Linked DNA regions of Oryctolagus cuniculus. The protein of the gene in region 2 purifies or fractionates together with the protein of the main gene of each other region. This does not show direct contact. Links are inferred from orthologs where the notes say so. Each region holds a gene or a part of one and is shown on either strand. Other genes may lie near its edges.

Region 1 (4,531 bases), on a different chromosome or scaffold from region 2:
GGCTACTGGAACAGAGCTGGGAAAAGCCACAAAGAACACTGTTAAGACAACTGTGGAGATGTAAACATGGACTATTGTAACAGACTGGGTTTAATTTCTTGAGTCTGGTAACGTCCTATGTGCCCTTTTTAATAGATATGTACTTGTATTTAGGAGCAAAACATTTCAAGATGTCTGCAACTAAATGTTTCAGGAAAAAATTTACATTAAAAAAGATACAGCAAACGGAGCAAACTGTTATCAAGTGCTGAACCTCAGTGAAAGGCATCTGACAACTTCCGCAACTTCCCTGTAGGTCCAAAAGGAAAAGAACAAGGACACGCATCCATGAATTGTACAAGACACTTGAATGCAAGCTGCCTATAATCATTCCCATTCATGATCTTTCTGAAGCTTCTGCTCACGGTAGGGTTGACTGAGCAGTAAGCTCAAGAGTCTGTGCAGGCCCTTTCTCTCTGTGCACCTGTACCTCCCTGCGATGGCCTGGATGTGGTCTGTCTCCTAAAGGTCCATGTGCTGGAAGCGCGGTCCCCAGTGTAGTGTAATGGTGTTAGGGGATAGAACCTTTAAGAGGCAGAGCCTGGGGAAAGGTAATTGGTTCATGGGTGCTCCACCCTCGGGAGGAATTAATGCTGGTCTCCTGAAATTAGCTAGTTCTCAAGAGAGCGGGTTATTAGAACGCAGGACCACTCTACACTCTCGAGTCCTTGCCGCTTCTCTGCCATTTTGAGATGTACCCAGGGGCCCTCACCACGGCCCGGCCGCTGCTGGCATCATGCTCTCTAGTCTCCAGAACTGTAAGTTAACCCAATCTCTGGTCCTGTGAATCACCCCGTGCCAGGTATTCTGTTACAGCAACACAACACAGACTTTATCTTCCACATGAAGAGAAACGTCAAACAGCAAGACGCTTGCTTTGAATCCCTGAGCTGCAGGAGAGGCATGAGAAAGCAGCCGGCAGCGGTGATGCACTGCCAACCTCCCGGTTCACAGCATGCACGTCACAGCATTTGAGGATGAGACACGGGAGCCGGAGAGAATCGTGCCCGGCTATCGTGCAGCTACGTTAGCCAGGACTCTTGAGAGCACTGCGCACTGTTCCTCTGAGGAGGCAGGGCTCAGGCCTGAAGCTGCTGACTTCAATCATACCTGACGGGGAGGGAGACGCCGAGGGCTTCACTGACAAGCAAGCAGATGATGCTGAGAGAGGCGCAGGGAGGCTGAGAGGTCCGGAAGCAGCTGGCTTCGAGGTGGAAGAGAACGGCAACATCGAGGGTGTGCTCTGGGAGCTATTAACAGGAGCAGAGGTAGCCAAGGCAGTAAATCTGAAAACGGTAACCGGAATGCATCAGAAGAGCCTGCTACAGATCTTTCACACTGCTCGCAAGCAGTGTTACCACAGGGTAACTTCCTCTCCATACTTTATTGCCTTCACCAAACATAAATGTTTTAACTATTTCTTATGGGGCTGGTGCTGTGGCATAGTGGGTAATGCCGCTGCCTACAGTGCTGGCATCCCATATGGGCACCGGTTTGAGAACCGGCTGCTCTATTTCCAACCCAGCTCTCTGCTATGGCCTGGGAAGCAGTGGAAGATGGCCCAGGTCTTTGGGCTCCTGCACCCGCGTGGGAGGCCCAGAAGCTCCTGGCTCCTGGCTCCGGGTTGGCACAGCTCCAGCCATTGTGGCCAACTGGGTAGTGAACCAGAGGATGGAAGACCTCTTTGTCTCTCCTTCTCTCTACGTGTAACTCTTTCAAATAAATAAATCAATCTTTTAAAAAAATAAACTACTTCTTATTAAATTAGTTAGAAGGAAACATTTCTGTTATTGTCTGCTTACTTAAGAACAACCAAGACATCAAGTAACTTGTAGATGAAATTAAATTTATCATCACATCAACTGCTTAGTTTCTATTCTATGAGGCGGAGTAAAAAAGTGGGGGGGGGGGGTGTGACTTAGCTATGCTTAGAGGAGTTTACTACTTCTCTTTTACCAAAGAAACTACTAAGAATTCATTTTAGGGGTGATCATCTCCTCTGGGGACTGAAAGTAGACGGGGAAAGCAGGTCATCATGTCTGCAATGCTTGGGGTCTAGTGGGAACGTAAAGTCAGTTCTACTGACAGAACACATCTGCAAACAATCCAAATACCCGGAATTAGACGACTGGTCAAATAAACAGTACAGCCAACAAAAAGAAGCACTATGCAACCTTTAGAATGAAGTAGTTATATACTGATCTAACATTAACAATGGACACCACAGCACCTCACTAAAGCAACAAGAGAGAGCAAGGGAGAGCAGGTTCTCTAGGGAAGAGGGATAGATGTGAGCAACTGCTTCCCTCAAGAAGCTCACATTCTAGTGGGGAGAATGGGGGGGGGAGAGGGAGGGAGGGAGGGAGGGAGGGAGGGAGGGAGGGGAGCAGGGAAGTGGGAGAGGGAGGGAGAGGGAGGGAGAGGGAGGGAGAGGGAGGGAGAGGGAGGGAGAGGGAGGGAGAGGGAGAGGGAGAGGGAGAGGGGGCGGGGGGGAGCGGGGAAGAGGTGAGCAGGCAGGACCTAGGCCTGTAGGAACTTGAATACCACGCTAGAGCTTGGACTACATTCAGAAGCCCCGGGGACTGCTGGGTTGGGCAGTCACCTACTGTCTTCACAGTTTCTCAAGCTCACTTTGGTGGCTGCACAGAGAACAGTTTAGAGTCCAGGGTGGACATGAGGGATTAATTTCCCTTCCAAGATGTATACACTGAAATGTTCATTTTTCAAAAAGAAAAAATACTTCCTTTGTAATCTAAAAGAGCAAAACAAGTATTTAAATATCACTCCACAGAAATAAAAAAATTAACATGCTGGGAGCAGGCTTTATGCTTAAGCAGGTTAAGCTGCCTCATAGGATGCCACAGATCAACAGAGTGCTGTCCTTCCTTTTTCCCCAAAGATATATTTTTTATTTATTTGAAAGACAGAATTACAGAGTGAGAGGGAGAGTCAAGAGATCTTTCACCCTCTGGTTCACTCTCCAAATGGACACAATGGCTAGGACTGGGCCAGGTCAAAGCCAGAAGCTCCTTCCTGGTCTCCCCTATGGGTGCATGGGCCCAAGGATTTGGGCCACCTTCTCCTGCTTTCCCAGGCACATTAGTAGGGAGCTGGATCGGAAGTGAAGCAGCCAGGACTTAAACTGGCTGGTGCCCATATGGGATGCCAGGGATGCAGGCAGTGGCTCTGCCCACTACGCCACAGTGCTGGCCCCAGAGTACCACACTTCCTAATCCAACTTCCTACTAACGCACCGAGGAGGCAGCAGATGATGGACCAAACATTTGGGTCCTCCTGTCCTCACGGGAGACGCGGATAGGGTTCCTGGCTTCGGCCTGTCTGTCCCAGTGTTGGGGACATTTGGAGGGTAAACCAGTGGATGGAAGATTTCTCTGTCTCCCACTGTCACTCCGCCTTTTGAAAATAGACAAATGTTATCTAATACCCGTTAGGACTAGATCCACTGATGAGCTGCAAAGCCTTTAGGTTGGTTTGATTTTTACCATCTGCAGGAAATTCCTTTGGAAAGAAAAGTAACTCCAACTAGTAACTCCAATCATAGTGACTCTACTTCCAGCTAATAATATGCAGTATTTCTATCCATCCTTCAGAACAATCAAACTTGAAAAATGACTTACTTTTCACTAAGGTTGGTCTTGACTGCAGATGCTGAGGGTGCGAAGGAGGGCTTTATTTCTACATTTGGAGCAGACACACTCGGCATCGGGGTACTTTCCAGGGTAGGCTTAAAACTCGATGATCCAAAGGAGAATGAAACAGCAGATGGGGCTATGGGGGAAGCTGCAGGGGTGGGGGCTAGTGAGGTTTTGGAAGGAGGAGTGAAAGAGAAGGTGGAGACGCCTGAACCCAACGTTGCTTTGGGGTTCTCAGGGCCACTGGGAAATGGAGCAGCAGCAGCAAATTTTAAGGATGCAGAACCAAAGGAGAACACGGCAGGGGCCCCACTAGCAGGAGGCAAATGGAAGGTGGTGATGGGAGCAGCAGGCGACGCAGCTGGAAGGGAAGCAGGGGTTGTAACTGCTGAGGCATCCACTTTTTGTGGGGCTTGAGAGGAGGTTGGGGTGGTAGGAGTGCTTCCTGCAAAGAAAAAAAGGAGAAAATGTTAACACCGGAAGGCCATGCAACAGAAAGCTAGTGAAAAAGGGTTTGCGGGAGCCAGTGTTGTAGCACAGCAGGTAAGGCCACCGCCTGGGACATCTGTATCCTCTATGAGCACTGGTTTGAGTCCTGGCTGCTCCACTTCCCATCCTTCTCCCTACTAATGGCCTGGGAAAAGCAGAGGAGATGGGCCAGGTGCTGGGGCCCTGCCACCCATGTGGGAGACCCAAATGAAACTCCACTTTCTGAAAACAGAGACTCAGGGCTGGCGCTGTGGTGCAGTGGGATAAGCTACCACACCAGCATCATTTGAGCACTAGTTCAAGTCCTGGCTGTGCCAGCTCCCTGCTAACATTCCTCAAAAACCAGTGGA
Region 2 (4,531 bases):
AAGTCCCGACTCCTCCACTTCTGATCCAGCTCCCTGCTAATGCGCCTGGGAAAGCAGCCGCTGGCGGCCCAGGCGCCACCCCTTGGGGAGATTCCGAGGGAACAGAAACCTTCACCTACCCCAGGGGCTGCCATCTCACCTCTCATGTACAGGAAGGCTCCTGCCCCACTCCTCCCTCATTAGCACTTCTCTCCCATTCCCTCAAAAGCCCCAATCAATTACATGCAGCCCACACTGACTCAGCGTTTAGGCCGCCTACCTTCCTTCCCTTTCTCTCTTCTCAGCAATGATGCTTCTTGTAGCCAACAAATCTCACCCTTAATCAAAATTTCTTCTCCCCAAGCAATTCAAGAAAGAAAAGCAACTCCACAGAGTTTCTCTGCTGCGTTACTACGACTGCTCTAAGTCGTTCGGGAGCCAGTTGCCATGAGTCAACAGCTCCCACTGGCTCCTGTGGGTGGCATCTCCCCCGCACTTTAACTGAGGAAATCAAAAAGGAGATGCTATTCCAAAAAAGTCTTCCAGTGAGGTAGGTCCATTTCTCCCCCTCACCCCTCACCTCCCACTTTCTTGCCATGGTTCAGGCAAACTCCTTTTCTCTCACCAGGAAAAAACCCCTTACCCAGCACACATTTGATGCCACTCTGGGTTCAGCACTGAGGCCCTCAATCAGACACTGTAGCAGGGGAGCCAAGTAGACATCATTGATGGCAGCTTCAGGAAGCAGTTCACAAATTCTGCCCACAGTCCACGCAGTTGTATCTCGAACAACTACACTTGGGTCTTTCATTAATTCTATGAGGGTGGGCATAGCCTACAAATACAACAGTTATTAGCAAAACAAAACAAAGATTAAGACTCATGTTGACTCTGTCTCTCAATAAATATAAAGTTGGGGCTAGTTTTGTGGCACAACTTAAGCTGCTGTCACCACCACCTAATACCAGCTTCCCATATACAGGCACTGGTTTCAGTCTTGGCTGCTTCACTTCTAATCCATCTCCTTGCTAACGCTCCTGGGAAGGCAGTTGAGGATGGCCCAACTCCTTGGGCCCCTATACCCAGGATGGCTTCAGCCTGGTCCAGAGCCAACTGTTGTGGCCATTTGGGGAGTGAACCAATGGATGAAGATCTCTGTCTCCATCACTGTGGTGTAGCAGATAAAGCCATCTGCGACACTGACATTCCATATGGGTGCTAGTTCAAGTCCTGGCTGCTCCACTTCCCATCTATCTCCCTGCTTATGTGCCTGGGAAAGCAGTGGAGAATGGCCCAAGTGCTCAGGCCCCTGTACCCACATGGGAGACCTGGAAGAAGCTCCTGCCTTTGGAAGGGTTCAGCTCTGGCTGCTGCAGCCAGCTGGGGAGAGAACCAGTGGATGAAGATCTGTCTCTCCTTCTCTGTTAACTCTGTTGTTCACTGGCAGTTGATGCCCACTGGATTTTGAGCACAGGCTTTGCTCCCAATTCCAGCTTCCTTCTAATGCAAACCCTGGGAGGCTCAAGTTCCTAGGTCCCTGCCACCAACGTGGGAGATCTAGACTGAGTTCTCAGTTCCCGGCTTCAGCCTGGAACGTGCCTGTTGCGGACATCTGGGGAGCGAACCAGTGGATGGAAGCTCACGGACTCTCTGCCTCTCAAACAAAAAATAAATCATGCTGATTGCTACTTCAAAACAGGAAATACTGACAAATGGATTTTAACTCAAAATATCCCTGGGGCTGGCGCGTGGCTCACTTGGCTAATTCTCCGCCTGCAGGGCCAGCATCCCACACGGGTGCCGGGTTCTAGTCCCGGCTGCTCCTCTTCCAGTCCAGCTCTCTGCTGTGGCCCGGGAAGGCAGTGGAGGGTGGCCCAGGTCCTTGGGCCCTGCACCCGCATGGGAGACCAGGAGAAGCACCTGGCTCCTGGCTTCGGATCGGCATAGCTCCAGCCATAGCAGCCATTTGGGGGGGTGAACCAACGGAAGGAAGACCTTTCTCTCTCTCTCACTCTCTATAGCTCTACCAAATTAAAAAATGTATATATATATATATATATATATATATCCCTAAAATCTTTTATAAAACACATGCTTGAAACATCTGTCAAAACTAATACAAATAGAGTGAGTTATGAAAGTCCTCCTCCCTTTATCAAACCCCAGTTCCACTTGATGCGGTGTGGGTACTGTCAGCAGGCTGCACTGAACGCTCAGCTTCCAGGATGCAGTTAGGACGGCACCAGGCCACATCCGAAAGCACCAAGTTCTATTACACCACGCAAAAAAACACACTACTTCCATAGGAGATCCTTATTACAGATACCATTCTGCCCAAAGGATGGACTATTAATCCCATCATTAGTTTTGGAAGCAATATCTAACAAAGCTGCAAGGATAAATATCAAGTTGAGAGGGTACCCGGACAAGAGGGATTAAGGGGAAACTTTGTGGCCTTTTCTGCATTTCCAACTTCCTGGGTCATAGGACTTATGCCATTAAAAAAAAAATCCTACTTTGACTTTCTACCCCCAAATTCCTTTAGTTTCACCTGTATAACTAGTGGTTTGAGCTGATTGGGCTCTGGTCCTTCCAAGATACAGCCGAAAGCCATCACTGCTGCATCCCGGTATCGCCAATCCGGGTTCTTGATGTGCTCCTTAATGAAGGGAAGGACGTGGGGGACGATGTCATCTTCACAGCAGGTGGCCAGGAGCATGAGGCACACCCCTGCTGCTTTGCAGGGGTTCCAATCATCATCATCATCATTTTCATCCTGGTGAAAGAACGTGGTGCTAAGAATGATTTTAATTCAAAAGGTTCTCTGACCACTCCAACGTAAACTCCAAGGAAGTATACAACACCAAGCCTTTATATTTGATCTCTTCCACAGTGATACATTACAAAATAAGGGGTAGCGCTGTGGTGTAGCAGGTTAAGCTGCATGGGCAGTATCCCACATGAGGGCCAGTTCAATTACCAGTTGCACCACTTCGGATCCAGCTCTCTGCTAATGCACCTGGGAAGGCAGTGGAAGACCACTCAACTGCTTGGATTCCTGCCATCCACGTGGGAGACCCAAATGGAGTCTGGGCACCTAGCTTCAGCCTGACACCGCCCCCTGGCTGGTGTGGTCATGTGGGGAGTGAACCAGCAGATGGAAGATTTCTTTCAAATGCCTTTCAAAAATACTAAATTACAAATCTTCATACAAGATGCAGATGAAAGATTCTACCTAGTACTACACAAAACAACAGAATGAACAAACTTTGGCTGCATACAACAAACATCAGTCTCAAATATGTATATGGATGGGCTTTGTGGTACAAATTTAGCTGCCATTTGGGACATGTATATCCCATTAGTCAAGTGCTGATTCAAGTCCCAGCAACTCCATTTCCAATGTAATTTCTGCTAAGACACTTGGGGAGGCAGCAGATGATGGCCCAAGAACTTGGGCTTCCTGGTTTTAGCCTGGTCCAGCTCCAGCTGTTGAGGGCATTTGGGGAATGAACCAGCAAACAGAAGACTCCTCCCTCTGTCCCTCTCCTTTTCAAATAAACAAAACTTTAGAGCAGGGGGTTGGCACTGTGGCGCAGCAAGTGAAGCTGCAGCCTGTAGTGTCAGCATCCCATATGGATGCCAATTCAAGACCCGGCTGCTCCACTTGTGATTCAGCTCTCTGCCATGACCTGGGGAAGCAGAAGATGGCTCAAGTGCTTGGGCCCCTGCACCCTCGTGGGAGAGCAAGAAGCTCCTGGCTGCTGGCTTTGCATAGGCACAGCTCTGACCATTGCAGAGCTGTGATTGAAACAGCAGATGGAAGATCTCTCTGCCTCTGCCTTTGAAATAAAAAAAAAAAAAAAAAAAAAAAAAAAAAAAAAAAAAAGCCAGACCAAATAAGCGGAAGGTACATGATTTTGGTCCAAAAATCTACCAAAATTAATCTATGGAATTAAAGGTCAAGAAAGCAAGGGGGTTCACAAGTGGGAAGAATATATGAAAACAGCCTCTGAGGTGCTATTAACAGTCACAATTCAATAAATGTGGGGCCGGTACTGTGGTGCAGCAGGGTAATGCCCTAGCCTAAAGCACCAGCATCCCATATGGGCGCTGGTTCGAGACCCAGCTGCGCCACTTCCAATCCAGCTCTCTGCTATGGCCTGGGAAGGCAGCAGAAGATGGCCCAAGTCCTTGGGCCCCTGCACCCACATGGGAGACCAGAAGAAGCTCCTGGCTTCGGGTTGACACAGCTCTGGCCATTGCAACCATCTAGGGAATGAACCAGTGGATGGAAGACCTCTCTCTCTCTCTCTGCCTCTCCTCTCTGTGTAACTCTGACTTTCAAATAAATAAATAAATAAAAACAATTCAATAAATGTTCATAAACAAAAATCACACAAAAAAGGACTGTATTAGAATCCAAAGTCACAGGGGACGGCATTGTGGTGCAACGGGTTAAGCCACCACCACCTGTAACTATGGCAACCCTCTGAGTACTGGTTTGAGTCCCAGCTGCCCCATTGTCCATCAGCCCCTGGTTGAGGCATCT
Region 3 (4,531 bases), on a different chromosome or scaffold from region 2:
CTAGCCTGAAGCGCCAGCATCCCATATGGGTGCTGGTTCAAGACCCGGCTACTCCACTTCCCATCCAGCTCTCTGCTGTGGCTTGGGAAAGCAGTGGAGGATGGCCCAAGTCCTTGGGCCCCTGCACCCATGTGGGAGACCCAGAAGAAGCTCCTGGTTCCGAATTGGCACAGCTCCGGCTGTCGCAGCCAATTGGGGAGTGAACCAATGGATGGAAGACCTTTCTTTCTCTGCCTCTCCTCTCTCTATATAACTTTGCCTTTCAAATAAATAAAGCTAAAAACAAACAAACAAAAACCAGTTCATACATTTTTAGTTAAACGTAGCTGGGGGAAGGGATGGAGGGCTCCAGATGATTCTTTACAGGGTCTTTAACTTATGATTTGTAACAAAGCTATCCAACATGCCTACACAAAACCCCGTAGGAAATGAATGTACTCTACAGAACAGGCTAGGTCTTTCTAGACTAGTCTTCCTTTCTCCCTTGGCTCAAAAAGGAGGCTGATATGACCAACATGAGGACCTAAAGTGCCTTGAAATGAAGAACAAGGTTCCCCTTGGCACAGATCTGAGATGCAATCTTTCTTACTCAAAAAGATACCTAGTTTTTACTTCAGCAATTGGAAAGTACTTTTAGACTTTGTATTTGTCATCTTAAGGGATCAAGTAAGCTATCCCCAAATGACCTGCCACATGGCCGTCCTACAGGTGCCCCAGGTACAAAATGACTGTAATTACTCACGTTAATAAAGGATTCAGGATGGAACAGTTCAAGACGTAATCCCGGCAAACAGAGCTGTCTCCAGCTATGTTTCCCAGTGCCCAGACAGCCTGAAAAGGAAGTGATGAAGCAATCCCTCAGCGCCTGTGGCTTCCATAAGTATTTTATAGACAACCACAGAGTGAGTCCCCATCAGGCTGCCATGTCAAGGCTCAAATCACACGAACCAAGCTCAGGTAACCTCCCTGCTGAAGTCCTTACTGAGCATTTGCTCTTCAAGGACCTCTATGCTCAGAGTCCCTGGTTCAGTGAGGAAGGCGGCTGCCAGCTGTATGACAGACTGAGAAGCCAAAGAGCTCCCCGTTCCCATCCACTCAGACAGAGTTCAGTAAATTGCACTCTTGAAGCTGCCTTGGACCAACTCGTAAATGTAGTAATTTCGACTCGCAACTTCTATACAATCACCAAGAATCCAGTGAGAGAAATGCAAGTTGTATTTTATTGCTATAATCTTTGGGAAATGGTAGTGCAGTGTCTTTCCCGCCCTACTTCTGACACGTAATGCACGTGTGTAGTTTTTCCCATACCAACAACCAATTCTCAGACACTGACTGCTTGTTCAATACTTTAATTTAAATGTGACCCTCACTCCCGAGGTTGAAGCAGATCCCATAGATTAAGGACCCACAGATCACTCCCACGTAACCTGTGCCTCCACTTCAGACACCAATCACAAGTCCCAGAGACTACCTAAACTTTTAACTGACTAGAAAGAAATTTGGGGATTCTTACAGAGAACTCAGAAAACACTACTTGTATGTGGAACAGCCAAATGAAAGAGACACATTAGACAAGGTATAAAGTGAGGAGGGTAGTGTACAGCTTCCATGTTATCTGTCACCTTCCCAGTACATCAATGCGCTCATTAACCCAGAGGCTCTCACCTTCAATAGTTTATAACCCAATCTCCAGATCCCTCCTCTTCCTTGGGAGGCAGTCAGGAGTTCCCACATTCTATGTTTGTATTTTTCTGGTGACCAACCACTGAAAGGCTACCGAGGTTCCCCAAACTGAGTCACTTTGTTAATACAGACTCAGATGTGTTCTAAAAGGGCTCTATAAATAGCAAAAGACATTCCTGTAACTCAGAAAATTCCAATGTTTTTAAGAGCACTGTGTCAAGACTGGGACTAAAACCAAATGTTGGTATTATACTGCAGCTACCATCAAGAATCAAGCCAAGGGGAAGGCGCTGTAGGTTAAGTCTCTGCCTGTGGCACCAGCATCTCATGAATGCAGGTTAAGTCCTAGCTGTTTCACTTCCTATCTAGCTCCCTGCTAATGGCCTGGGAAACCAGTGGAAGATGGCCCAAGTGTTTGGGACCCTGCACCCATGCAGGAGTCCTGGAAGAAGTTTCTGGCTCCTGGCTTCTGATTGGCCCAGCTCTGCCACCGTGGCCACTTGGGGAGTGAATCAGTGGATGGAAGACAGTTCTGTCTATAACTCTGCCTCTCAAATAAATAAATAAATCCTTAAAAAGAAGAACTAAGCCAAATCAGTATTACCTGTTCTTGTACATCCTCAAAGTCCGAGTTAAGCAGCTCTATGAAAATGGGGACGGCCCCTGCTTCAATGACAATTTTGGTTTGCTGGGAGGTTCCAGAGGCAATGTTTGTCAGAGCCCAGGCAGCTTCAAACTGAAAGGTAGATTAAGTCACCATTGAGAGATCATTCCACAGTGTGCAGCCATGTTTACTAGCTGGCTCAGAACAGTAAGCCTCTTGCCCATGAAAAACAAAACAAAACAACAAAACACATAAGCTTTTCCTCTCCCTTCTTTTAAATGGTGAGAAGAGGCAGTGATATGACAACGGGAAGGTGGAATGGTGCTTCCGTGGTCAAATTTTGTACTGTAACAGCATCCCCGGGATCCCCATCATGTCATTTATTTATTTCCTGAGCGTCACAGCCACCTATGAGAAGACTTGGAAGTAGATTAGAGTCTCTGATTTGTAATGGAATGGTGTGTTTGCAATATTCTTATCTTCCTTTGAGTTTTCAAAAAAAAATTGACAGATAACCTTCCATATATAAAAACTGACAGATAACCTTCCATATAAGAATTTGGTGTATGGTAGGAAAAATACCTCTTGCCTACTATATGACACAGTCCTCCAAAGAAATGACAATTAATCTTCCTTAGAAGGGAACCGGTGTCATTCACCCCTTGGGCTATCCTCTCTCCCTTACCATTCTTTATCAGTAAGGGAAAGGAAAACATAACTCAATATATATACTGACGGCGGAATTGTTAAATCTAGCCAATCGGGGCCAGCACTGTGGTGTAGTGGACTAAGCATCTGCCTGCAGCACCAGCATTCCATATGGGCACTGGTTCTAGTCCCTGCTGCTCCTCTTCCGTTCTCCAGCTCTCTGCTATGGTCTAGGAAAGCAGTAGCAGATGGCCTAATGGTTTGGGCCTCTGCACCTGCTTGGGAGACCTGGAAAAAGCTCCTGGCTTTGGATTGGCCCAGTTCCAGACGTTGTGGTCATTTGGGCAGTGAACCAGCAGATGGAAGACCTTTCTTTTTGTCTCTCCCTCTGTCTGTAACTCTACCTATCAAGAAAATAAATAAAAATATTTTTAAAAAATCTAGCCAATTAACAAATGCATTACTCTACATAGTTATTATTGAGAATGTTTTAAGGAAGAGATTTTGTTCTCTTCTTTATATCTTTATAATGTCAAGATCTCTGAGGCAACTGATGCCTTACTTGAAATGTTTCCTCATCTGACTTTTCTATCTCCTGAGAGATATATCTGCAGAAATACCCCATTCCAATTTCTTGGAAAAGGGCTTTATTTGGGAACTCTTTCCCTTGGGGCCTCACCTGTAATGTACAATTTTCATTCCTCTTCAGAAACTCCACAAACCGATCCACTACCCCTGGAGTGTTGATAACTTCATCTATTGGAGGACTAGGCTCTACAAGAGGGAGATGGAAGGAGATAAAAACTGAAGAGAGGCTTTGGTACATCTATTCACTTGTATCAGCTCACGCTTCTTTCTAGACACTTCTAACAAGCATTATAAACATACCCAAACTCCCTTCTGTTCAGGTGGTTTATCAATACCTGCTCAGTTTCTCTTTAAGGATTCATTTATATGAAAGACAAAGAGATTAAAAAAAGACTTTCCATTCATGAGGGCTAGGACTTTTGGTATGGTTTACTATAGCCTCAGGAGCTAGAACTGTGGTATGTGGCAGTTGTTCTATAAAAATTTGGTGTATGGTGGGAAAAACACCTCTTGCCTACTATATGACACAGTCCTCCAAAGAAACGACAATTAATCTTCCTTAGAAGAGAAATATGTAAACCAGTGTCATTCAACCCTTGGGCTATCCTCTCTCCCTTACCATTCTTTGTTTATCAGTAAGGGAAAGGAAAACATAACTCAATTAGGACTGGATTTACCCTTAAGTAGTCCAACTATATCATACAGTTCAAAGATGAATAGGTAGGGGGTGGCTGTTGTGATGGAGTGTGTTAAGCTCCTATGTGGGATGCCCTCATCCCACTTTAAAGTTTTGGCATTGAGTCTTGCCTCAGTTTCCAATCCAGCTTCCTGCTAATGAGCTTGCAAGGTAGCAGATGACGGCCCAAGCAGTTGAGTTCCTGCCACCCATGTAGGAGACCCACATAGAGTTCCTGGCTCCAGGCTTCAGTCTAGCCCAGCTTTAGTTGTTTTGGGAATTTGGGGAATGAACCAGTAGATGGAAGATCTGTCTATCCTTGTTTATCACTC
Region 4 (5,219 bases), on a different chromosome or scaffold from region 2:
TGCCTCTCTGTAACTCTACTTTTCAAATCAATCAATAAATATTTTATTAAAAAAAAAAAGTGATATGTATTCACAAACACACCAAATACACCAAAACTAACAACAGTTACATCCTTGATTGTGTGGGAAGAACAGTTATGTTCCCCTCCCCCTTTCTATCAGTTTCTATATTCTACAACACATATTAATTTTTCATAAAGATTTATTTATTTATTTGAAAGGCAGAGTCACAGAGAGGCAGAGGCAGAGAGACATCCTCCAGCCGCTGGTTTACTCCCCAAATAGCCCCAACGGCCGGATCTGCACTCCAAACCGAAGCCAGGAACCAGGAGCCTCCTCCAGGTCTCCCACGCAGGCACAGGGGCCCAAGGGCTTAGGCCATCCTCCACTGCTTTCCCAGGCCATAGTAGAGAACTGGATCAGAAGAGGAGCAGCTGGGACCTGAACTGGCATCCATATGGGATGCTGGCACTGCAGGCAGTGGCCTTACCCACTACTCCACAGCGCTGGTCCCATATTAATTTTATAATCTAAACAAAAGCATACAAGTTGGGGCTGGCATTGTAGCAGTGAGTGAAGCTGCAACCTGAGACACAGATTCCCATACTGGAGCACCAGTTCAAGTCCCGGCTGCTCCACTTCTGATCCAGCTCCCTGCTAATGGCCTGGGAAGGCAGCGGATGACAAACCAAGTGCTTGGGCCCCTGCCAGCCAGGTGGAAGACCCAGATGGCGTTCTTGGCTCCCAGCAGTGCCCTAGTCCAGACCTCACTATCTACAGACCTGGTGATCAGTGAGTGATGCTCTCTAGCCCGTGCAGACACCAGAAGCAGGTATACCTGCGTTCTGTCCCCAGTTCCTCTACCCACAGCTGTGCTCCTGGGAAGTTATCACCACCTCCTTGAGCCTCAATTTTCCCATGTGCGAAACAGGGATAAAACTTCTACCAAGGAATTCTGACAGGAAACTGAGATACTACTGGCATGGCACTTACTCCTAGCCTGACATGGTGTTCAATAGATGACATTTCATAGCAAATCCGTGCTTCCTGACTGAACTGTGTCTACTCAGACCTGTCTGAGTCATCAGCTGGGGGCACTGGCATGGCCTGAGACACTGTCTGTGCTGAGACGCTTCTGAGTGTTACTAAGAATGCCTGGACCCCCATGAAGCCCTACTCTACCCGGGTTACCAGGACAGCTGGGTAGGAACGGGGTTGATGAGCTCCATCATGATAAAAGCAGCATAGCTTTGGAAGGTTCCAGTCCTGCCCCTGCTCAGTCATCATTAGCCAGCTTTGCAGGGAGCGTAGGTAAGGAATCTAAGCACTTTAAGTTAGGTGGCAATGCAGAAGGTCACTGTACACTCGTTTGGGGCCCGTTCACCTTGTGGCATGAATAAACAATCTGTGAACTGCCAGAAAGAGCAGCACAGGCACAGGGATTCCACAGGACCCCATTAAATCCTGGCTCTGCTACTGACGAGACGCGGGATCTCCGGCAGGCTACCAAGGCCTCCTAAGTCCTTTTTCTTCATTTATAAAAAGGCAATATTTCCACCTGCCTCCCACGGGGATGATGGGAGGATTATCAGTGATGAAAGCACAGGGAGGGGGCTGGCAGTGTGGCTTAGTCACCGCCTACCATGCTGGTATTCCGGCAGACACGAGTTGTGTCCCAGCTGTTCCAGCTCCGATCCAGCTACCTGCTAATAGCCTGGGAAAAGCAACAGAAGATGGCCCAAGTGCTTGGGTCCCTGCCACCCACATGGGAGACCTGGATGAAACATCTGGCTTCTTCCTGGCCCAGTCCTGGCTGTTGCGGCCATCTGGGGAGTGAGCCAGCAGATGGAAGACCTCTCTCTCTGTAACTCTTTAAAATCAATAAATCTTAAAAATAAAGTATAGAAAGAACTGTGGAAACCATACAGCCCCGTAGAGATGTGAGCAGTATGCATCACTACACTCCCAGCAAGCCAAGGTCTCTGGCCCGGGGCAGGGAAGCAAGGCTGCCTACACACCAGGATAACCAGGCAACTCCAGACCAGTTTCCCTGGTTGCACCAGAACAAGAGATCGCAGAAGTACAGACACAGGTGCCTTCACTGCCGACACCAGGGGACTCTGGGTTGGTCATGCCAGCAGACTTGGCCAGAGATGGAAAGATAGGACCTGCATTCCAGTTACTGGTTCTCTGGAGTCTGGTGCTTTCTTGCACACATACACACAAACACACACACACACACACACACACAGAGCAGCAGCAGCAGCACCCATCCCTCTCCCAGGGGCATCTAGCGGCAGGGACCAGAACCTCCCAGGAGGGTCGAGACTATTGTTTTAATTCTGCCCCCCAAGGGCCTTCGCCCTGCCTCCCCCCACGGCAGATATTCCCTGCCATGCCTACGACCTCAGGAGTGAAGCCAGGGAAGTTAAGGCTGTTGGCTCTGAAGCTGCTCATTGTGGCCAGGAAGCCTTCCCATGCTCCTGGGGAAATGAACTAACAGCCTCCCACTAGACTAGGTAGGTCCAGTAACACCGCCCGGGCTACTTGGACAAATAAAGGAGACAGTGCGGCTCAAAGGGCCCACAGTTAGTAAGCGCTCGCCGCACAAGCAGCGCAGGAACTCACCATCCTCTGCAGTGTTGAGTTTGAGACTCTTGCCCTTGAAACTCAGCTGTCCTCCGGCCACCTGGGTTTTGGCCAGGGTCTCTGCTAGTTTGGCGATGTCTTCAGAGGCCATGAGGGCCAAAGTGGCAGGCTCCCCCGGAGATCTGCAAACTGAGAAGCCCCAAGTGGCATTAAAGAAGAGGGATCTCCTGGGAGCCTGGTTGGGGAGGGACAGGAAGGGGCATCAGCCACCTCCTGACCCCACTGGCCCCTGCCACGGGGAACCTAAGAGGTAAACCACTGGGAGGAATGAAAACAGCATTAGAGAAGGCACGGTTCCAGAAAGGTGGAGGCAGCAGGAAAGCAGAAATGTCCAGCGTCAGCCTGGAGGGTCAGCAGCTCCCTAACTCCCTCCTCTGCCAACTGCCCCCACCCCATACCGGGGACACCCACAAAACCAACCCCATGGGAGCCAAGTCCACAGGGTCCACCCAAGCACACACCTGCCTGATCATCCTGGCTGCTCTGTGTCTGAGGGTCCCAGTCCCCAAACAGGACATGGATGTCTATGGGATCCAGGTCATCCATCCCAGGGAATGCCCACCACCCACGCTGGCATGACTAGGGGTGGGGCACAGGGGTCAGCCCACTGCACCTCTGGCTGTAGCCCTGACCAGGAGACTGGGCAAGCCACGGAGGCCTCCCAGGTTCCTAGGAAACCAGAGGACCCTACATCACAACAGCTACCATCACAATAGGCCAATGTACAGAAACAGCAAACTCAAGTTTCTCCAACATTATCCTGACACCAGATGGGCAGGGGTTCCTCCCCACAGAGCACCCAATCACATTTTACCACAGATGTCGGCTAGGTTTGCTCCCACTCAGTTCTGACACTATCTGGAGACACCTGCGACACTGCTCCCCACCTGATGCTAATGCAAGCCCCCGGTAGCTTTACCTGCACTTCTGACTGGGTGGCTGTGAAATAGGTTCCACCAGACAGACTCTCAAACAAGGGCTACACTCACCTATGCTTACCAGTTCAGAGAAGATAAAAAGGATACAAATGATCAGCCTGATGAAGAGATACACGGAACAAGGCACAGGAGAAGGGGGCAGAGTTCCACACCCTCGCTTGCCAGTGCCTTCCTGCCGGGACCACCCTCTACCTGCACAGCTCCCCAGCAGCTCTCCAAAGGCTGCCCTCTGGGTTTCATGGAGGCCCCACAGCACAGGCACGACTGATTAAATCACTGGCCATTGGTGACCAGCTAAACCCACTTCCCAGAGGTTGGGGGTGGGGCTCAACCCTAATCCTGCCTGGGTCTCTCAGGTGACCTGCACCCTCCTGAAGCCACCCAGGATCCCCCAGGCAGTTTTCTGGGCATACAAAAGGCTACAGGACCACCGCCACATCCTGTGTTTGGTTGGGATCGAGTCTTGCCTCTGCTTCCAACCCAGCCTCCTGCTCGTGTGCACCCTGAGAGGCAGCAGGTTTTGGCCCAAGTATTTGGGTTCCTGGCTCTTGCAGGTGTTTGGAGAGTAAACCAGCAGACTGAAGAGATCTCTTTCTCTTTCAAATAAACAAACTTAAAAACTACATAGACGCTTGTCAATTTAGGACGTTAGGTTGAAGGTCCAATTTATATTTTGCACAATCACAGACTGGTACAGTGGTCCACTGCACTTCCCCAGAGAAGAAAGGGCAGGTAGTCTGGGGACCTCAGAAGAGTGACATGGAGGCGAGAACTCGGGGTGCTATCCGCAAGGCCTCCCCCCATCTCCTTCTCAGATTCGGTTGTGACCTCCACCCCAGTCTTCCTCTGGATTCAAATAACCAGCTTCCTACCCCCTCTCCTTATCTAACCCCTCGTCTGCATGCACTGTGTTCATCAGTAAGCCTGAATTACTTCTCTAGGTAAGACAACCAGTCATTCACCACACAGAACTTCCACTGTCTTGACTACTACTGGATACTGGATACTGTTCACGGTTCCAGGAACACAGCAGTAACTGATACAAAAAGAAGCTATGTTCTAAACAGGATACTTAGTATGTCAGACTGGAATAAAAATAAATAAGGGGGAGGGGGGCTCTGACAGTTGCAACTTCAATTAGAAAGGTATCAGGTAAGAAACAATAACCATTTGAAGGCTGTCGGGGAAGAGGCCCAGCATATTGGAGCATTCCCACAAAGGGAGCAGACAGATGGAAGCAGGAGAGGAGAGGAGGGGAGAGTTAACCAAGGGCTCTAAGCATCGTGGCTTTCCCTCCAAGGGGCCCGAGGACCTCCTGGAGGGTCTCCAGCAGAGACCCGACCGGACCAGCGCTTTGACAGCTGCCTAGGGCCCGCCGACGCTCAAGAAATGACGGGACAAAACTGAATAAACTAACGGCGGGGGCGTCCAGACGGGACACGGAACTTCTCGGGGGGTAAGGGGACGACCCTCGGTCCAGGTGGGGAGGGAGGAAGGCACGAGGCACAAGCCGCCCCCTCCCACCCCCAGTCCACTTTAAAGATCAAAACACCGAACCGACCTGCCCAAGGTCGGCACAGGGACTGAGTCCAGAACCGCCCTCTCGCTTCCCGGCAGCAGGGCCGAGACGCC
Region 5 (4,531 bases), on a different chromosome or scaffold from region 2:
TCGTTTTGGGATTTGCGATCTTCTTATCCAGCAAGGCAGTAGGGCCATTTGCAGTCACAGAACCTACGGAAATTAAAGTTTGAAGAATTTATTTTGAAGGGATTTAATTAAACCATCTGGACTTTATGCTATGCTGTCTTCCTACTTTCTATTTTTGTCAATTTTTGCAATAATGCAAGAAATACATGTTCAAAAAGCAGCAGTATGAACTGATGGTCATAAAGCAAACCACTTTACGGCAGCACGGCATCCACTGCACGGCAGAATGATGCCTCTTGGTTGTAACGATCTTCTCCTCCAACAAGCAGACCTAGTCTCAAGCCACTGTTAGAACAGCATAAAATACAAGCTCTAAAAGTTGTTGAGACACACTAAGGCAGCATTTATACATTAATTATATATTAACATATTAACAGAAAATGCTGTTTCAAAATCACACTAAACATGCTGCTTAAATCTAACGGTACACTGCTCGGAATACAACTAACCTGAATTCGGCCAGTCAGGATCCCTGTAACATTTAACCTACGACGCGCATTCTCTGCTGCTAACCCCGAGAGACCTCAACTAACTTCCTCACAACAGGATGGGGCGGAGGGCGTCGGCACGGCCGCCACGCGCCCCGGGGACTCCTGCATCTCGTACCGCAGTGCCTGGTTGAGCCCCAGCTCTCCACCTGCTGACCCAGCTTCCTGGAGGCAGAGGCTGACGGCCCGAGTTCTTCGGTCACCTACCACCCATGCAGGAGACTGGCTTTGGCCTGGCCCATCTCCAGCTGTTGCAAGCATTTGGGGAATGAACCAGCTGATGGAAGATCTCTTTCAAGTTAATAAATAAATCTTAGAAAAAAAAAATTTTTTTTTGACAGGCAGAGTGGACAGTGAGAAAGAGAGACAGAGAGAAAGGTCTTCCTTTTGCCGCTGGTTCACCTCCAATGGCCGCCACAGCTGGCGCGCTGCGGCCGGCGCACCGCGCTGATTCGAAGGCAGGAGCCAGGTGCTTCTCCTGGTCTCCCGTGGGGTGCAGGGCCCAAGCACTTGGGCCATCCTCCACTGCCCTCCCGGGCCACAGCAGAGAGCTGGCCTGGAAGAGGGGCAACCGGGACAGAATCCGGCGCCCCGACCGGGACTAGAACCCGGTGTGCCGGCGCCGCAAGGCGGAGGATTAGCCTAGTGAGCCACAGCGCCGGCCTTAGAAAAATTTTAAACAGGGCCGGCATCCCGAATCAGAACGCAGACTTGAGTTCTGTTGCTCTGCTTCTGACCCACACCCTGTTAATGCACCTGGGAAAGCAGCAGAAGGCCCCAGTGCGGGGGTCCCTGCCATCCACGTGGGAGACCTGGTTCCAGCCTGGTCCAGCCCTTTGGGAGTGAAGCAGAGGACAGAAGACTCTCGCTGACTCCCCCTCTTACTCTGCGTTCCAAACAAATTAAACCAATCTTTGAAATAAAAGCCTGTGTTCTAGCCACATAACTCTAAGTAGCCAATATCCCCTGAGCTGTATCCCTTTCATTATTACTGTTTTTGCTTAGTCTCAGGACCAGAGTAAGTCCAAGAAAAAAACGTGCATGCAAAGTTGTTTCCAGAGACCAAATTTACAGACACGGCTGGGACAGGGCTGTCTACTTACCAAAGATCGCCTTGGGCTCTGCTGTCTTGGTGCCGGTGAGCGGAGGGGCACTTGTGCTGTTTCCATTGGACAGTCCTTCTAGGGGCTTCCCTCCAGGGCCTCCACCAAAGCCAGAAAACCCTCCTCCTCCAGAAGGCACCACCAAGCCTTTAAATCCTTTAAAGGCCCCTCCAGCATCTGGCTGGAATGGGAAGGGGAGCACACGTCAGCAAGTCTACACCATCACCCAATGAGTGACACTATTCCCCTGGCTAAACAGGATTTAGACTGAGTATGTGTCCTGCATTAGAAGGGTACCTTCTGGCACAAGCAGCCACAAGAAATGAGACACAAAGATTTTATTTTTATTTCTGTAACAGCTAGGGAAAACACTCAGAATTTATGGATACAGGCACTCTTAAAAACCCATTACCTGTGCATATCTAAGACATAGGAGATAAGAGACTAACATAAAGAGTCAAGCACACACCACCCAGATCAGTAACTGAGAACACTCGACACAGCTCAGCCCCTAATGGGAAACTTCTCATGGGCGCAGCAGACTGCCTAATGAGATCCGATACTCCACCATCCACGTTGCCTTCCAGTGGGACCACACACGCCACCATCCACCCCACCATCCGCCTCCCAGTGAGACCACACACCCCACCACCCACCCCACCATCGCCTCCCAGTGAGACCACACACCCCACCACCCACCCCACCATCCGCCTCCCAGTGAGACCACGCACGCCACCATCTATCCCACCATCTGCCTCCCAGTGAGACCACACACCCCACCATCCGCCTCCCAGTGAGACCACACACCCCACCATCAGCCTCCCAGTGAGACCACGCACGCCACCACCCACCCCACCATCCGCCTCCCAGTGAGACCACACACCCCACCACCCACCCCACCATGCGCCTCCCAGTGAGACCGCACACCCCACCATCCGCCTCCCAGTGAGACCACACACCCCACCATCCGCCTCCCAGTGAGACCGCACACCCCACCACCCACCCCACCATCCGCCTCCCATCCGCCTCCCAGTGAGACCGCACACCCCACCACCCACCCCACCATCCGCCTCCCAGTGAGACCACACACCCCACCACCCACCCCACCATCGCCTCCCAGTGAGACCGCACACCCCACCACCCACCCCACCATCCGCCTCCCAGTGAGACCACACACCCCGCCATCCATCCTCCGTGTCTCCCGATGACACTGCACACTCTGCCTTCCACCGCATCTCCTAAGAATGTCAGTGGCTTTCAGTCCACGCCAACTCCACCACGCTCAAATCTCAGATCTAATTCCTGCTAACTGGGCGAGCCAGGGAAACGTCACTCTCCCTCTTGCTGGTCTTTCTGGTAGGTTTCCTACTGCACTAGGCTTGCTCACACCTCCAACCCGACATGTTCTGGGAACGTCTGTGGTTACGCATGAAGTTCGAGCTGCTGCCGCTCAGGACTCTCTAGAGCAGGCTCCTCAGGTTACAGTGCTCATGGACGCACAATTCTTGTAAAATCTTTTCTTCATTCAAAGTAGTACTTACACCACAGAAGATACTCTGCCTCAAGCCAAACACCTGAGAGAGTTCACAAATCCCAAGTTCCCACACAAATGAACTACAACCATGACCTCACCAAAATTCAGTTAAACTGGAACCTCTTCCTAGAGCCAGTCTAAATATTATTAAGTGCCTTTCCAAACACACACAACTTTCAGTGACATCTACAGAATTTCAGACGTTCATTCAAAATTGAAACTCTTGGGGCCGGTGTCTTGGTGCGGAGGGTAAAGTTGCCACCTGCAACACCAGCACCCTGTATGGGCGCCATTCAAGTCCCAGATGCTTCACTCCCCAAACAGCACCCTGCTAATGCCCAGAGTCTAGACCTGCCACCCTGGGGGAGACCTGGAAGAAGCTCTTGGCTTAGGCATGGTCCAGCACCGGCCACTGCAGCCATCTGGGAGTGAACCAGTGGATGGAAGATCTCTGAATTTCAAACAAATCTTTTAAAAAACAAATCTATACACTATTGATTTCTATCATTTTTAAAAAGGTTTGTTTATTTATTTGAAAGTCATAGTTACAGAGAGGAGAGGTAGAGAGAGAGGTCTTCCATCTGGCTCACTCCCCAACTGGCTGCAACGGCCAGAGCTGTGCCGATCCAAAGCCAGGAGCCAGGAACTTCTTGCGGGTCTCCCACGCAGGTGCAGGGGCCCAAGCACTTGGGCCATCTTCTACTGCTTTCACAGGCCACAGCAGAGAGCTGGATTGGAAGTGGAGCAGCCGGGACTGGAACCGGCGCCCATATGGGATGCCAGTGCTTCAGGCCAGGGTGTTACCACTGCGCCACGGCGCCGGCCCCTGATTTCTATCATTTTAAAGAACGATTCGTGGACAGGCTGTCAAATGCAGCAGCCGAGGCCGCGCTGTGGCGTAGCAGGTAAAGCTGGCTGCTCCGGCAGCACTGGCGTCCTCTATGGGTGCCAGCTCGAGTCCCGGCTGCTCCACTTTCGATCCAGGTTCCTGTTAAATGTGCCCTGGGAAAGCAGCAGAAGACAACCCAAATACTTAGGCCCCTGCACCCATGTGGGAGACCCGAAGAAGCTCCTGGCTTCAGCCTGGCTCAGCCCTGGCTGTTGCAGCCCTTTAGGGGAGTGAACAAGCAGATGGGAAATTCTCTCTCTCTCTCTCCCTCTAACTTTGCCTTTCAAATAAGTAAAAAAAAAATTTTTTTTTTTTTGACAGGCAGAGTGGACAGTGAGAGAGACAGAGAAAAAGGTCTTCCTTTTCCGTTGGTTCACCCCCCAAGTGGCTGCTACGGCCAGTGCACTGCGCCGATCCGAAGCCAGGAGCCAGGTGCTTCCTCCTGGTCTCCCTTGCGGGTGCAGGGCCCAAGCACTTG
Region 6 (5,267 bases), on a different chromosome or scaffold from region 2:
CTGACATGGTTAGATTTGAGAGGACAAGAGTAGAGGCAAAAACAAAAACACACTTTTGTCTGATTCTTTCTTTTCCCAGAATCACAAAAATGACAAATCTGGCTTTTTTCAGTCCAATCCCATTTTTGACGTAGTCATTTAGCTTGAAGACATTTAGAATCTTACGTGTGTCACATTTTACACTGATCCTAGGAAATGATAAAAACTAAAGCTGTGAACAATTAACTTAACACCTCATTTCTGTCTAAGAAACTTCCATCCTTTGCCTTTTGAGATGCTATCTGTATCTTTTTCTAAGTTGATTCTTTTCTTTAGTTGATCGTTTCCTTCCTAATGGCCCTAAATCCTTTTGGACAAACTGTGAATATGAATTCTTTCTACTTTTCTCTAATTTCCACTGGCAAAGTATTCTTCCTCATGGGTTCTTTAATCATTCTATTTTGTTTCTTATCAATTTATCTTTCAACACTTATCTTACCCAAACTCCCAGAAGAACTTTACAATTACTGTAAGACAGTATAAATGATGAAGTCTACAATACTCCGCAACACTCCACAATCTAGCTAGGGACCTTCACAGCCCTTCTCTTAAATAAATTGTCCAGTGATCTCTCAGCTTCCATAAGGGATTGTTCCAAGGCTCCAATGGATAGAAAATGGCATAATATTTGCCTGTAACCTATATACATTTTCCTATATACTTTAAATCACCTCTAGATTACTTATGAACCTAGGACAATGTAAATGCTATGCTACAGTTGTACTGTTTAGAGAATGACAAGAAAAAAAATCTGTACATGTTCAATAATGATGCAATTCTATTTTAACATTTTCAATCCACGGTTCGTTGACTATACAGAAACAAAAACCCTTCTCTGGGAGAAAGGTCTCAAAAATGGAGGGTTGACTATATATTTAGTTGTAGAGGATATCAAGTTACAATGACATTTCAAAACCTCATTCATCTGGCCAGGATTTGTTTTCGTTTTGCTTTTACTCACAGGCATTAAACCACGCTTACTCCACTCCTCAAAGTACTGAAAATCACAACAGACCTTTACTTACTTGGCTTGGCACTGGCCTTTTCTGGAACAAGCGCTTGAGATGACTCATCTAATTCAACGAGAATTCTACCTTCCCAGTTTGGAATGTTGACATCTTTCAAACCAAAATGTCGATTTCGTTCGTATTCCTTATGTCTGTTTTCTTTCTGAGACAGTGATTTCCTATGAGCAATTTTAGTTCTAATCATTTCAGTGCTTAAATCTTTTCTGTGTCGAATGGCAAAATGTGACGAAGACATCCTGTCAGGGAAAAGGGAAATAGAAGCCAACTTACATGAATTTTCATTTTATTATTTAAAAAAATTAAAGAGTCCAGTTCAAATCCTGTCCCACCTGAGAGCCTCCTGAAATAAAAATTCAGACAAGCAGCTCTGGGCTTACCGCAGAACGCACTGCAGAAAGAAGAGTACAAAGTGCAACTGGGAAGAGGGAAAGGAAATGTTAGGTTTGTATACAAAAGTTTCCATAACCTTCCCCTGGGATGAATGTAGGCAGCCTAACATTTCTCAGGGAAAAAAAAAAAAAAACAAAACACTATATGAGATGCCTATAAGACATGCATAGACAGACAACTGGATATTTAAGATTAAAAAAAGAGAAAGATTTTCAGGAAAAAAATTTCCATGGTGATACAGAAGGATAATTCCATTAGTTTGTCCTACTGTCTTCATCCATACAAGAAATCATATTGTTTACTCGGCACATATCTTTTCTTAGAAAGATCCTTGAGAACATACTCAAACAAAACAAGGGAGAAGGACACTAAACATGATGTCATGAGTTCTAACAGACAGTGGGCCCAACTGAGAAGGTTAAAGAAAAGAGGAGAGTTGGAGGGGTCACCTATGTGCTGGTATAGAGCACTACCAAGCTAAACTGGACAAAGAGGGCTGATTCTCCATATTGTTCCACACTCAAAGTAGGGAGGGTCCCCCCCAAAGCAAGCAATCAATCGGCTCTGCAGTGGGTGACTAATTCAATGCAATGCTGATACTGTATTCAACAGTATCACAGGCACACTATATTTTTCAACAAAATTAGCCAAAGCCCACTGGAAAACCTCAAGTAAAAGAAAAACTGGCACAAGAAATGCAATTAAGTTACAATTTAACATTACTGTAAGCATCAACAGAGTATAAGAAATGAGAATCTGAGTGGGATGCTTAATAACATTCTTAAGAACCCAGGAGAAGTGATAATGGACCGTGTTTTTCATCAAGAATTTTCTACTACTTTAAAGAAAAAACGAAGTCTATGATTTGTCTCCTTGTGCAAGTACTAATTCGCTAAATATTAAAAAAAAAAAAAAACCTACAAGGCACGTATTATCTTAAAACACAGAAAAGCACTACCCATAGCAAGAGAAGACGGAGACACGGAGGGAGGGAATACAGGCACACTCATCACAACAACCCTAAAGGCAGTTCCCATCACCGCCCTGGCCCAGCTGAAGGAAATTAACCACCCGCATTCGCATGACTTCCAGGCGGCGGCCGCAAGCCAGGCAGCCGGGCTCCTCACGCGCGTCTGAGGCTGTCGGAGCGGCTGCAGCCCCAAAGTCCAGAAGGCGTTAGTCCTGCCTGCCGGCGGGGTCTCCGCCGGGACCCTGTCAGCCGTCACAGGACCCGGCAGGGCGACTGGACGGAACACCGGGATCCGGGACGCTGAAGACCCCGCGCGGGGAAGACCTGCCCCACCACCCCAGAGGCCAATGACGCCACCCAGGCAACAAACATTCACTATGCCGGGATCACGTCATCCGGCGCGCCAGGTACCGCCGTCCTCCGGGGGCCTTCGCGCGAGCGTCCTCGGACCCTTCTAGAACTCACCGGAAGCCGGCGAGCGTCGTCCCCACCCCGGCCCCACAGTACTCACTGACCTGAGGGCCCTTCTCGTGTGAAGCCTCCGCCAGAGGAAAAGGGACCCACTCGGCCTGCACGACTTCGGTCTTCCCTGAAGCAGGAACACCTTCCTATCCGAGCCTCGGCAAAATTCAAACTTCCCGCACCGAGCTTCTGATTGGAGGGACTTTAACCAATACTTCCGGGAAAGGCGCCCGCCCCTTCCCCTCACAGAGGCTTGCGATTGGTTCGCACCGTGAGATGTTTGAATTGATTGACAGCTAAAGGGACGGTTCCAAGGATGGGAGTGAGGGGAGCAATAGGTGGGGCCGCGGCGCGGGCCGAAGCGGGGCGGGAAGTGTGGAGGCTCTGAGGCTGGGCGGCGGGTGCGGTGGCGGGGCTCCGAGCGGCTCGAGGTGAGGCCGCGCTGGGTGCGGACTGTGGGAATCCGCCGCTGAGGCGCGCGGCGACGCGCGGGTTCTACCGGAAGGGACGTGGGGCCCGCCGCCTCCCGGGTCCAGCATTTGCAGGGCTTTTTGAAGTCCCTGTTTACTCTCAAAAATGCGGCCGAGCTTGTTGGACTGCTAAATGGTCTAGGCTTACCCCAGCAGAGTTCGCCTGCCTGCCAGTCAGCGTCGCCGGCGCGCCTTTTTTTCTTGTCAGTTTTTTTGTGGAAGCAGAAAAGCTTCAGTGAAAAACATCGTGTGTGTGTGTGTGTTGACCATTGTACGAGTTTTGATCGAGGTGCAGCCGTGTCCCCAGCACGTCCTCAGGGTGTGTCCTCTGCCGGCGAAGCGCCCGCACTCCCGGTCCGGTCCGCTTGCCCGCGCTGCCGCCACCACTCCTGACTTTGTCACCATAACGGTGAGGGCAGTGGGGTGGCCATCGGTCTAGGGGCTGCGACCCCTGCATCGCATGTTCGAACCCCAGCTCCTCCAATCCAGCTTTCTGCTAATGCGCACCCTGGGAGGCATCGGCGGTGCCTCAAGTAGTGGGGTCCCTGACACCCACTGGAGAGACCCGGATGGAGTTCCCTGGCTCTGGCTTGAGCGTTTGGGGGGAGTGAAGAGGCGCAGTCGCACAAATAAATATTTTAAGTAAAAATTCTCTATCTAAAAGCATGAAGGTACTAGGGACTGCCTTCCTTCTCAGCATAATGTATTTGGGATTAACTCAGCAGTTTTTATTGAGAAGTATTCTCATTGAATATTCATTCACATACTAATGGACATTTGGGTGGCTTCCACATCGGGGCTATTGAAGTTGTTCTAAATATTTTTGTACAAGTATTTTTGCAGGCGTATTTTGTCATAAATACAGGTGTGGAATTTCTAGGTCATTCTGGTTATGTTTATAATAAATTCCCTAGCTGTTTTCCAAAATGGTTGTACCACTTTGCACTGCCACCATCCGTGTATAAGGGTTACAGTTGTTGCACATACTTTCCAACATTTCCGGTTGTTAGTCAGACTTGAACCTTTCTAATGGGCGTGAAATGATGTCTATTTTAATTTTGCAAGTTTCCCAGTGACTGAGGGTGAGCATCTTTTCATGTGCTTGTTAACTTTATTGTCTTGTTTTGTGAAACATTTTTTCAATGTTTTGCCTATGTTTTTTTTTTTTAAAGATTTATGTATTTATTTGAAAGGCAGAGTGACAGAAAGGCAGAGGCAGAGAGAGAGGTCTTCCATCCACTGGTTCACTCCCCAGATGGCCACAATGGTCAGAGCTGGGCAGATAGGAAGCCAGGAGCCAGGATCTTCTTCCAGATCTCTCATGCTGGTGCAGGGGCCCAAGGACTTGGGCCATCTTCTACTGCTTTCCAGGGCCATAGCTGAGAGCTGGATCGGAAGTGGAGCAGCCAGGACTCGAACTGACGCCCATATGGGATGCTGGCACTGCAAGTGGCAGCTTTATACTTGCTGTGCCACAGTGTTGACCCCTTGGCTATGTTTTTAAAATAGCAGGGCTGGCGCTGTGTTGTAGCAGGTAAAGCTGCCGCCTACAGTGCTAGCATCCCATATGGACGTGGGGCAGCTCTGGCTGCTGTGGCCATCTGGGGAGTGAGCCAGTAGATGGAAGACCTCTCTCTACCTCTCTTTCTCTCTCACTCTCTCTCCCTCTCCCTCTCCCCCTGCCTCTCTGTAACTCTGCCTTTCAAATAAATAAAGAAATCTTTAAAAAAAAATGGGAGTTACCATTTAAAATTTCTTTTTATTATTCATTTGTAGTAACTATGTATTATGGGGTGGGAATACAAGTCAGATATATATATATATATATACACATATATATCTATATATGAATATATTCGCTAAGCCTGTGGATGGTCTTTTTTAAAATTAAAACTTAACTTTAGATAG

Evidence for each region.
Region 1: the proteins of KPNB1 (region 2) and NUP214 purify together in Homo sapiens (affinity purification with mass spectrometry; 3 studies listed by BioGRID and IntAct, with this or other methods). This does not show direct contact. The link is inferred for Oryctolagus cuniculus from reciprocal best matches to the Homo sapiens genes KPNB1 and NUP214.
Region 3: the proteins of KPNB1 (region 2) and KPNA6 purify together in Homo sapiens (affinity purification with mass spectrometry; 4 studies listed by BioGRID and IntAct, with this or other methods). This does not show direct contact. The link is inferred for Oryctolagus cuniculus from reciprocal best matches to the Homo sapiens genes KPNB1 and KPNA6.
Region 4: the proteins of KPNB1 (region 2) and RANGAP1 purify together in Homo sapiens (affinity purification with mass spectrometry; 3 studies listed by BioGRID and IntAct, with this or other methods). This does not show direct contact. The link is inferred for Oryctolagus cuniculus from reciprocal best matches to the Homo sapiens genes KPNB1 and RANGAP1.
Region 5: the proteins of KPNB1 (region 2) and NUP50 purify together in Homo sapiens (affinity purification with mass spectrometry; 4 studies listed by BioGRID and IntAct, counting the BioPlex papers as one, with this or other methods). This does not show direct contact. The link is inferred for Oryctolagus cuniculus from reciprocal best matches to the Homo sapiens genes KPNB1 and NUP50.
Region 6: the proteins of KPNB1 (region 2) and DLGAP5 purify together in Homo sapiens (affinity purification with mass spectrometry; 4 studies listed by BioGRID and IntAct, with this or other methods). This does not show direct contact. The link is inferred for Oryctolagus cuniculus from reciprocal best matches to the Homo sapiens genes KPNB1 and DLGAP5.

What each region holds. Positions count from the first base shown.
Region 1 is NC_091432.1:233,685,670-233,690,200, reverse strand, and holds part of NUP214 (nuclear pore complex protein Nup214), read right to left. Parts: intron 4,138-4,531; coding exon 3,678-4,137; intron 1,326-3,677; coding exon 1,150-1,325; intron 1-1,149. UniProt on the Homo sapiens protein: Part of the nuclear pore complex. Has a critical role in nucleocytoplasmic transport.
Region 2 is NC_091448.1:24,002,601-24,007,131, reverse strand, and holds part of KPNB1 (importin subunit beta-1), read right to left. Parts: intron 2,756-4,531; coding exon 2,531-2,755; intron 815-2,530; coding exon 623-814; intron 1-622.
Region 3 is NC_091438.1:140,292,264-140,296,794, forward strand, and holds part of KPNA6 (importin subunit alpha-7), read right to left. Parts: intron 3,710-4,531; coding exon 3,615-3,709; intron 2,420-3,614; coding exon 2,288-2,419; intron 832-2,287; coding exon 743-831; intron 1-742. UniProt on the Homo sapiens protein: Functions in nuclear protein import as an adapter protein for nuclear receptor KPNB1. Binds specifically and directly to substrates containing either a simple or bipartite NLS motif.
Region 4 is NC_091442.1:117,338,679-117,343,897, forward strand, and holds the start of RANGAP1 (ran GTPase-activating protein 1), read right to left. Parts: upstream 3,301-5,219; 5' UTR 3,196-3,300; coding exon 3,111-3,195; intron 2,779-3,110; coding exon 2,629-2,778; intron 1-2,628. UniProt on the Homo sapiens protein: GTPase activator for RAN. Converts cytoplasmic GTP-bound RAN to GDP-bound RAN, which is essential for RAN-mediated nuclear import and export. Mediates dissociation of cargo from nuclear export complexes containing XPO1, RAN and RANBP2 after nuclear export.
Region 5 is NC_091442.1:119,923,991-119,928,521, reverse strand, and holds part of NUP50 (nuclear pore complex protein Nup50), read right to left. Parts: intron 1,812-4,531; coding exon 1,631-1,811; intron 64-1,630; coding exon 1-63. UniProt on the Homo sapiens protein: Component of the nuclear pore complex that has a direct role in nuclear protein import. Actively displaces NLSs from importin-alpha, and facilitates disassembly of the importin-alpha:beta-cargo complex and importin recycling.
Region 6 is NC_091443.1:21,309,044-21,314,310, reverse strand, and holds the start of DLGAP5 (disks large-associated protein 5), read right to left. Parts: upstream 3,075-5,267; 5' UTR 2,943-3,074; intron 2,789-2,942; exon of another isoform or gene 2,529-2,788; intron 2,527-2,528; exon of another isoform or gene 2,416-2,526; intron 1,486-2,415; exon of another isoform or gene 1,397-1,485; intron 1,304-1,396; 5' UTR 1,303-1,303; coding exon 1,065-1,302; intron 1-1,064. UniProt on the Homo sapiens protein: Potential cell cycle regulator that may play a role in carcinogenesis of cancer cells. Mitotic phosphoprotein regulated by the ubiquitin-proteasome pathway.